Linked DNA regions of Drosophila melanogaster. Each later gene encodes a partner of the first gene's protein in a complex. Each region holds a gene or a part of one and is shown on either strand. Other genes may lie near its edges. A codon is read from its position in the direction of its gene.

The links.
Region 2: the proteins of ND-PDSW (region 1) and NP15.6 are in contact, whole or in part, in a cryo-EM structure (PDB 8BA0), measured with the Drosophila melanogaster proteins. Residues at the interface, in NP_651972.1 of Drosophila melanogaster: Trp40, His42, Gln43, Phe45, Thr50, Ile51, Asp52, Ala65, Phe69, Arg70, Arg71, Met74, Val75, Glu78, Ile79, Ile82, Leu83, Arg86, Ala112, Asn115, Trp116, Ile118, Lys119, Ala129, Tyr133, Gln136, Lys137, His138, Arg139, Leu140; in NP_650774.1 of Drosophila melanogaster: Gln101 (codon at 2,397), Phe102 (codon at 2,400), Arg103 (codon at 2,403), Trp105 (codon at 2,409), Ala106 (codon at 2,412), Gln107 (codon at 2,415), Arg108 (codon at 2,418), Glu109 (codon at 2,421), Gly110 (codon at 2,424), Phe111 (codon at 2,427), Leu112 (codon at 2,430), Glu113 (codon at 2,433), Leu114 (codon at 2,436), Val125 (codon at 2,469), Ser126 (codon at 2,472), Pro127 (codon at 2,475), Asn128 (codon at 2,478), Tyr129 (codon at 2,481), Val130 (codon at 2,484), Asp131 (codon at 2,487), Pro132 (codon at 2,490), Ser134 (codon at 2,496), Ile135 (codon at 2,499), Thr136 (codon at 2,502), Leu137 (codon at 2,505), Pro138 (codon at 2,508), Leu143 (codon at 2,523), Glu147 (codon at 2,535), Ile148 (codon at 2,538), Ile149 (codon at 2,541).

Annotation. Positions count from the first base shown.
Region 1 is NT_033779.5:3,464,192-3,467,987, reverse strand, and holds ND-PDSW (NADH dehydrogenase (ubiquinone) PDSW subunit), read right to left. Parts: upstream 1,832-3,796; 5' UTR 1,654-1,831; coding exon 1,572-1,653; intron 1,202-1,571; coding exon 926-1,201; intron 856-925; coding exon 734-855; 3' UTR 654-733; downstream 1-653. Other genes in the region: Pif1 DNA helicase, read left to right, coding at 1-137; msl-2 (male-specific lethal 2), read left to right, coding at 2,349-3,796.
Region 2 is NT_033777.3:19,025,352-19,028,595, forward strand, and holds NP15.6 (NP15.6), read left to right. Parts: upstream 1-2,016; 5' UTR 2,017-2,096; coding exon 2,097-2,549; 3' UTR 2,550-2,664; downstream 2,665-3,244. Other genes in the region: CG14285 (uncharacterized protein), read left to right, coding at 1-491, 551-778; GatA (Glutamyl-tRNA amidotransferase, subunit A), read right to left, coding at 851-1,853, 2,764-3,006, 3,067-3,244.

The DNA.
Region 1 (3,796 bases):
GCAAGCTAATGGACACAACCATGATACCATTGGGTCCCAAAAACAAGGACAAGAAGCCAGGAGACAAGGCCGCAAATAGCGCTCTGGCTAAGCTCAAAAAGAGTCTCATCAACAAGCCGCTGGTCTCGATTAGCTGAGCTCGAAAGTAATCTAAGATAGCGTAATTCTAGAAAGCTTGAACAAATTTCACTATTGCCTATCTATTGGTATCTATTTCTAAAAGTGTAATTTTTTCTTTTTTTAAGAAAAGCAAATGATTTATGGACTGTGCATTCCTTTTTTTAAAAAATGAGAAATTATGGAACTCTTTTTGAAATTGTCTAAATTTTCGAAAAAGTCTGAAGAATTACAGTGTGAGTTTTATGATTTATCACTATATTCTGTAAACTTATTGCAGTACGCAGGCAAAAACTTTATTTTACTCACTGGAACAACTTAACCAAGGCTCTTAATCTTGAGAACTATTAGTTTTAAGCTAGTCTATAGCCAAAATTCTATATCAAACGCCAATATTAATATTTATTTTAAGAAAAACATGACTAAGAATAAATGCAACTAATAGACAAATGAATTGAAACTGCTGTAGTAATAAATAATTCCTAGTAGCTCTTACCTTATAATTTACACTGAAACAATTGAAAGAAAGCTCAATCCTTGGGAATATCGTTTTACGGCGTGTATATTTTGTTTTAACGGATAATGAAACTAGAAAACATCATCATAAAAGCGGAGTTTAATGGGCGGCCTCCTCCTTCATGCCACTGCCCACTGGTCCATGACGACGCTCCCAGATCAGACGATGCTTCTGCTTCATGTACGCGGTCTTGGCATTGGCGTAGCCTCCCAAGTCGCCATCTATAATGGGTTATATCTCGTTATATATCACATACAACTTTAAAGAAGATGGGTAAGGGATTCCACTCACACTTGATGAACCAGTTCTCGGTGGCCTTCTCGTACTGATCCATCAGCGGCCTGCACTTGACCATGTGATCGGGTGCCTCGTAGAGGGTGCAGTCCTCGAAGCGCTGGCGCAGAATGTTGACAATCTCGTTGTCGACCATGCGATCCCGGCGGAACTGCTGATCGGCCTCGAAACGGCAGACGGCATCGTCCGTGTAGCACTGGTCGATCGTCGGAACGCGGCGGAAGCGCTGGTGGTACCAATTCTGCTTCTGCTGGTTCGGCTCCACAATGCTCTCTGTGGGATTAACACAAGGCGCATTAATAAAATATACTAGCTGTAATGCATTTCTGTTGAAAAACATGATCCCGCTTTGACTAGATGAACTATATAGTAACGGACGGCATTTAAGGGCTGCCGACTAGTATTCTAAGAGATTTAGTTTGCGCTAGCTAGAAATTACTTAAAACGGTTGATTATAAACATTTTAGCATTTCAGCAATACAGTGTAAACAAAAACAAATGGACTGCGAGTTGAGGTTATGTCATTATGTAATTGTCTGGAATTTGTCCGGTTTTTCCGATCGTTGGCCAAAGGAAACGCAAACTTGCAGCATCTGGAGACTCCCATGACCATGGCCATTGGGAATCCCTGTGGACTACATACCACGGAACCAAGTTATGGGTCCATCGATGACATTCAGCACCGACTCGGCAAAACTGGCCATCGGACTGCGCGGTTCCGGCATTTTCTGGCTCTCCTACCACCTGGCGTAAGCGGAAGAGCTGTTAGTAAATAATTTCCAAGGTTTTCCGCTTTCCTTTGACGGAAAATACTTAAAAAACCATATTTACTTGAAAAACTAAGTGTTAAAATTTGTTGTAGGACCGCAGTTCGTAACTGCGAAAATTCCTCAGAGCACTGAAATCAGCTGTTCGAGGTAGTGGTCACACCTATGCCGCACTGCAGCTAGCATGTTCGCACTGGCACACTGCGGTCACACTGGCTTCGCTCAGCAAAATATTGCTTGGGTAATTTTTTTTTTTAGTTGCTAATTTATTGTTTTCAACGCTGTTGCACAGTGTGCAGCATAACCATTAACAATGACTTGAGACCTCTCAAACGTAAACCAATTTTTTTTTTTTTTTTGCACGTGAAACATAGTGATAACGAAGCCACAAAAGTGAAACCAACAAAAAGCGTTCCAGTAAAGTTACCATTAGATAATGAAATCGAGGATTAACGCGGTCTAAGCATGTGTAACTGAGCTCCTACGGGCGAGGAATTGCAGGTAACTAGCCCAGGAGGCACCAGGTAGCGGAGCAGGTGGCGTGGGTCGGACCGACAAGGCACTTACTTGGCCAGCGGAGTCTCACTTTTGGGCTGAAAAACGTAAACAAACAGCGGCGTGCGTACAGTCCCGGGCATAAAAATATAGCCATCATGGCCCAGACGGCATACTTGAAGGTGACACGCATCGCGATGCGCTCCGCTTCGAATCTTTCCAAACGGCGGGTGGAGGAGCTGAACTCCGGGCTCGGCGAGCTACGGCAGCTGCTGTCTTGCGTGGTCTGCTGCCAGCTGCTGGTGGATCCCTACTCGCCCAAGGGCAAGCGGTGCCAGCACAACGTGTGCCGGCTGTGTCTGCGCGGTAAGAAGCATCTGTTTCCCAGCTGCACCCAGTGCGAGGGTTGCTCCGACTTCAAGACCTACGAGGAGAACCGTATGATGGCCGCCCAGCTACTGTGCTACAAGACGCTGTGCGTCCACCTGCTCCACTCGGCATTATTTGGTGAGCTGGCCGGGATGCGGCCCCAGGTGGCCAGGGAGCTGGTGCCTCGCATCAAGCTGCCTCCCAAAACCACACAGGAGTTCATTCGCGAGGGCTCAAACATCTCCGACACTTTTGACATCTTTCTGCCCCAGCCGGATTTGCCGTTCCTCAAGGACATGCCCACATCGCTGCCCGCAGAGACGCCGCCTACGTCGGCGGTCACGACTCCGGAACTGCCCTATGATCACCACCTCAACATCAGCGACATTGAGGCGGAGGCGGCGGCCACAGCGGAGCAGGGTCACTTCTCGCCGCTTCCCCTGCTGCCCACAGGATCTCGCATGGGCATGCTCTCTCACGCCGGGCAAATAGTCATTGCCACCGAGAGCTCGGAGTCGGGCTTCATGGACCAAGCGTGGACGGATCAGGTAGACCTGTCTGGCACGGTTTCGGTGTCCAAATACACAAATAGCGGCAACAACTTTGCTGTCTCCTACGTGATGCCCACTTCTGCGACCACGAAGTTCGATCCACAGGAACTGCAAATCGGCCAGGTGGTGCAAATGGCGGACTCCACTCAGTTGGCTGTGCTGGCTGCCGTTGAGGAGACCGTCGAGACGTCCACACAGTTGACTGTGCTCTCCACCACCGTTGAAGAGACCGTTGAAACATCCACGCAGCTAGAAGTGCTTACCTCCGCTGAGGAACCCAACGAAATCTCTGATCAATTGGCTAATCTGCAAGTTGAGGAATCTGATGAGGCTCTGGTTGAAGAGACCGTTGAAGAGGCCGAAGGGACCTCAATCCCGTCAGAGGTTGTAGCTGAGCACATGGAGGAGGATCAACACTTGGATGTGCACACTTCACAGTCACCTACACAAACCGAAATGGAGGAAGCAGTGGAGGAGCATGTTGCCACAAAAACACAATTGGGTCATGTGCAAACAGAATTGCAGGATGCGGAGTCGTTGCAGAAAGATTTTGAGGACGCAAAGGCAGCGGCTGAAGAGGCGAAGGAGAAGGAGAAGGACCTGCACGCAATCAGTGCTGAGCTGCAGAAGGAGGACAGTGACGAGCCAACACTTAAGCGAAAGAGAACCCGTACTCTCAAAGCGTC
Region 2 (3,244 bases), on another chromosome or scaffold:
ACTGCATGGCCATTAATCAGCACGGAAAGGTCTACTCGAGCAGCTGTGATGGCCAGGTTCACTTCATGCTGCCTCCCTATGGAGACGAGTCAGTGCAGGAACTATTCCGCTGCGACGACGCCATCCAGGCCATGTACTGCGACGGATCCGTGCTTTACACGGGCGATGACAAGGGTGTGGTGACCACTTGGACCAACGATCGCATGCTCTTCAAGTACAGCCTGGTGGAGGAGGTCAAGTCACTGGCCGGCGAGCAGAATCTCATTTACACTGTTCGCGACCTGGACGTGGTGGTGTCTCAGGTGGCGGAGGGCAAGTCTGGAAAGTACAGCAACAAGGCGGTGATTCCAGGTAAGTCTCCGCTCCATCTTCTCGGGCCCATGGTGGATGGCAAGCGGAGCTATCTGGCCTTTCCCGATCGCTCTGGGATGGGTTTGCAACTGGTCAACAATCTTTCGCAGCAACAGTACTCCAAAATTTGGCACTTGCCGGTGAGTTTCCTGCATATGTCGATCCAAGCTGTAATATACGACTTTTGATCTAATTTTAGGACTGCCATGAGTTGATCATAAACGCCCTTTGCGGAGATGAGACCTATTTGTACTCCGGCGGCTATGACAAAAAGGTTAAGGGATGGACCGATCTGGAAGCAGGAAAGCCAAAAGCCCTGGGCGAGGTGGAGGTGGGCAGTTGTGTGAACAGCATTTGCTGTGGAGCCAACGACACGGTATACATAGCAAGCAGCGACGGATTCATTCGCAGTGCGAAGTTCGTATAATTTTATTGGCCATCTTGTCGTCTCAGAGAATAGAAAACCCTTGTAACAATTAAACAGAATTTATTAAAAGCTTTACAAACTGGCCTTATACTGTTGCGAGTGCTCTAGGCTGTCGAATTCCACCTGCGCCTCTATCCATCGTGCCACTGTGAGCAGTAACTGCTCGTTGAGGCTGTTGCTCATCAGCTGAAGGCTCAAGGGCAATCCGGCCTGGGACAGGCGAATCGGTATAGACACGGCGGGAATTCCAGCCATGTTGGCTGGCTGAGTGCAAAAGTCCTGCACGGCACACTGATCCCTGTTGGTCAGGGAGGCGAAGTCCTTGTACAGCGGAGCCTCTGTAAGAGTTGTCGGCGTGAGAAGGATGTCCACGCGCTCCTCTTTGGCCGAGGAATCAAACACCCTTGCAAAGTCCTCTGCAATAAGGCGGCGCACCCGCAAAGCCTTCTCAAAGTAGTGATCATAGTTCTTTTTCAGCAGCAGAAAGTTTCCAGTGAGTATGCGTGTCTTAACCACATCGTTGAATCCCTCGGCCCTGGATAGGGCATACAATTGCTCCGTGCTGCGCTCGTCTGTTGCCCGATGGCCGTACTCGATTCCATCGTACCTTGCCATGTTGCTGGCCACCTCGCACTGATTAAGAATGGTGTACACGAATATACTTGCTGCCGTATTGGGCAGGGAAACCTGTCTGACGGAGGCACCGCTACACTCCAGCAAATCGGCCACCTTAGACCACGTTTCCAGAACTTCGGCGGAAAGACCGTGGCAATGGTATTCCTTTGGTATTCCTATGCGCACAGTGCTCAGGTCAATTTGCCCAACTTCCGGCAGATGTAACCTGGTAAAAGGCTGCCTGATGGTTGTGGAGTCCAGTTTATCCGGCCCTGCCACTGTATTCAGTACCGCCACGCAATCGCTGACGGAGCGGGCAAAAATGCCGGGCACGTCCATGGAATTGACCAGCGGAATAAGACCGTGGCGGGAGACGAGGCCGTAGGTGGGCTTTAGACCCACCACGCCGCAGTACGAAGCCGGGTTTCGGGTGGAGCCACCCGTGTCCGAACCAATTGCTCTGGAATATAGAAGAGAAAATTAAGAATATATTTTAATATTTATTTCGAGCAAAGTTTCTAGGAATTCAAATTAAAACGGTTCTAGGTAAAATACCGAAAAAATACCGCATCGAGTGGCTACCCTCTCGGCCAGCTGACAAATTGCAGCAAACGTTCACACTGCGCAGCTGTCAGAAGTCCAGCGATCAAGGGAAAACTCGATTATTTACGAAATTTGCGACTGAAATTTCTTCCCCAACGCGATGTCTGCGCTGTTCCGTCTGACCAACCGCGCCGTGGCGCTGCAGCGTTCCCTGGTCGCCAACCAGGCGGCAGTGGTGCGGGCAATCAACACGTCGCCGAAGAAGGATGAGACCATCACGGCCCCCACTTCACTTACGACCGAGGACTTTGCCAATCCGAGTCCCAAGAACTGGCAGAGCTACGGATTCGACTACAAGGACCAGGTGGAGGATCGCAAGGCCACCAAGTCGACGTTCTTCGTTACGGTGACACTGTGCCTGGTGTGGGGCAGCTTCTACTGGGCCTACCTGCCCGACACTCAGTTCCGCAACTGGGCCCAGCGTGAGGGCTTCTTGGAGCTGCGTCGCCGCGAACTGGCCGGCGTGGATTTGGTCAGCCCCAACTACGTGGACCCCGCCAGCATTACACTGCCCTCGGACGAGGATCTGGGCGACACCGAGATCATCATCTAAACATTTAGTGACCCTAAACTTAGTCTGTTATGTAATGCGAATGCGAAGTGCGGTCAGTGCGAGTCCGCTCATAATCCGTTAATAAATCTGCAAGTCTCGCCGTGGACACAGCTGCTTTTTAGCCCTCGGATGATTAATTTTGATCAAATATGTTACATTTTCAACCATCGCGTTTGAGGTTAGGTGTTCAAAACATAAACAAGCTAGTACGTACGCATAACAAAGACCCGCGGCTACGGCGGATGCAGAGCCTCCAGAACTGCCGCCCGCGATGCGCCAGTGATCCTTGTTAAGGTCCTCGCTCCAGATGTTCTTAGTCGGCCCGTACAGGGAGTCCACAGTGCCGGCGCCCATGGCAAACTGATCCATATTCGTCTTGCCCAGAATTACAGCGCCGGCTTGTTTAAGTCTGGAGCACACAGTGGCATCATAGGGAGGCACAAAGTCTTGCAGCATCCTGGCAACGAAGGCTACAAGGATAATATTGCTCTGATGCTGGGTTCTCATGGTCTCCTACCGTGAGGCACAGGTGGTGTGTACATCTTTGGTGCAAAAGTTGTCCTTGATGGCAATGGTGACTCCATCAAGATCACTAATCGGTTGCCTTAGCTTATAGCGCTGCTCCGCGTCCTGGGCCTGCTGCCCCGCCTGTTCCGGCGTGAGGCGCACAAAGGCATTCAGTGTCTTCCACCGCA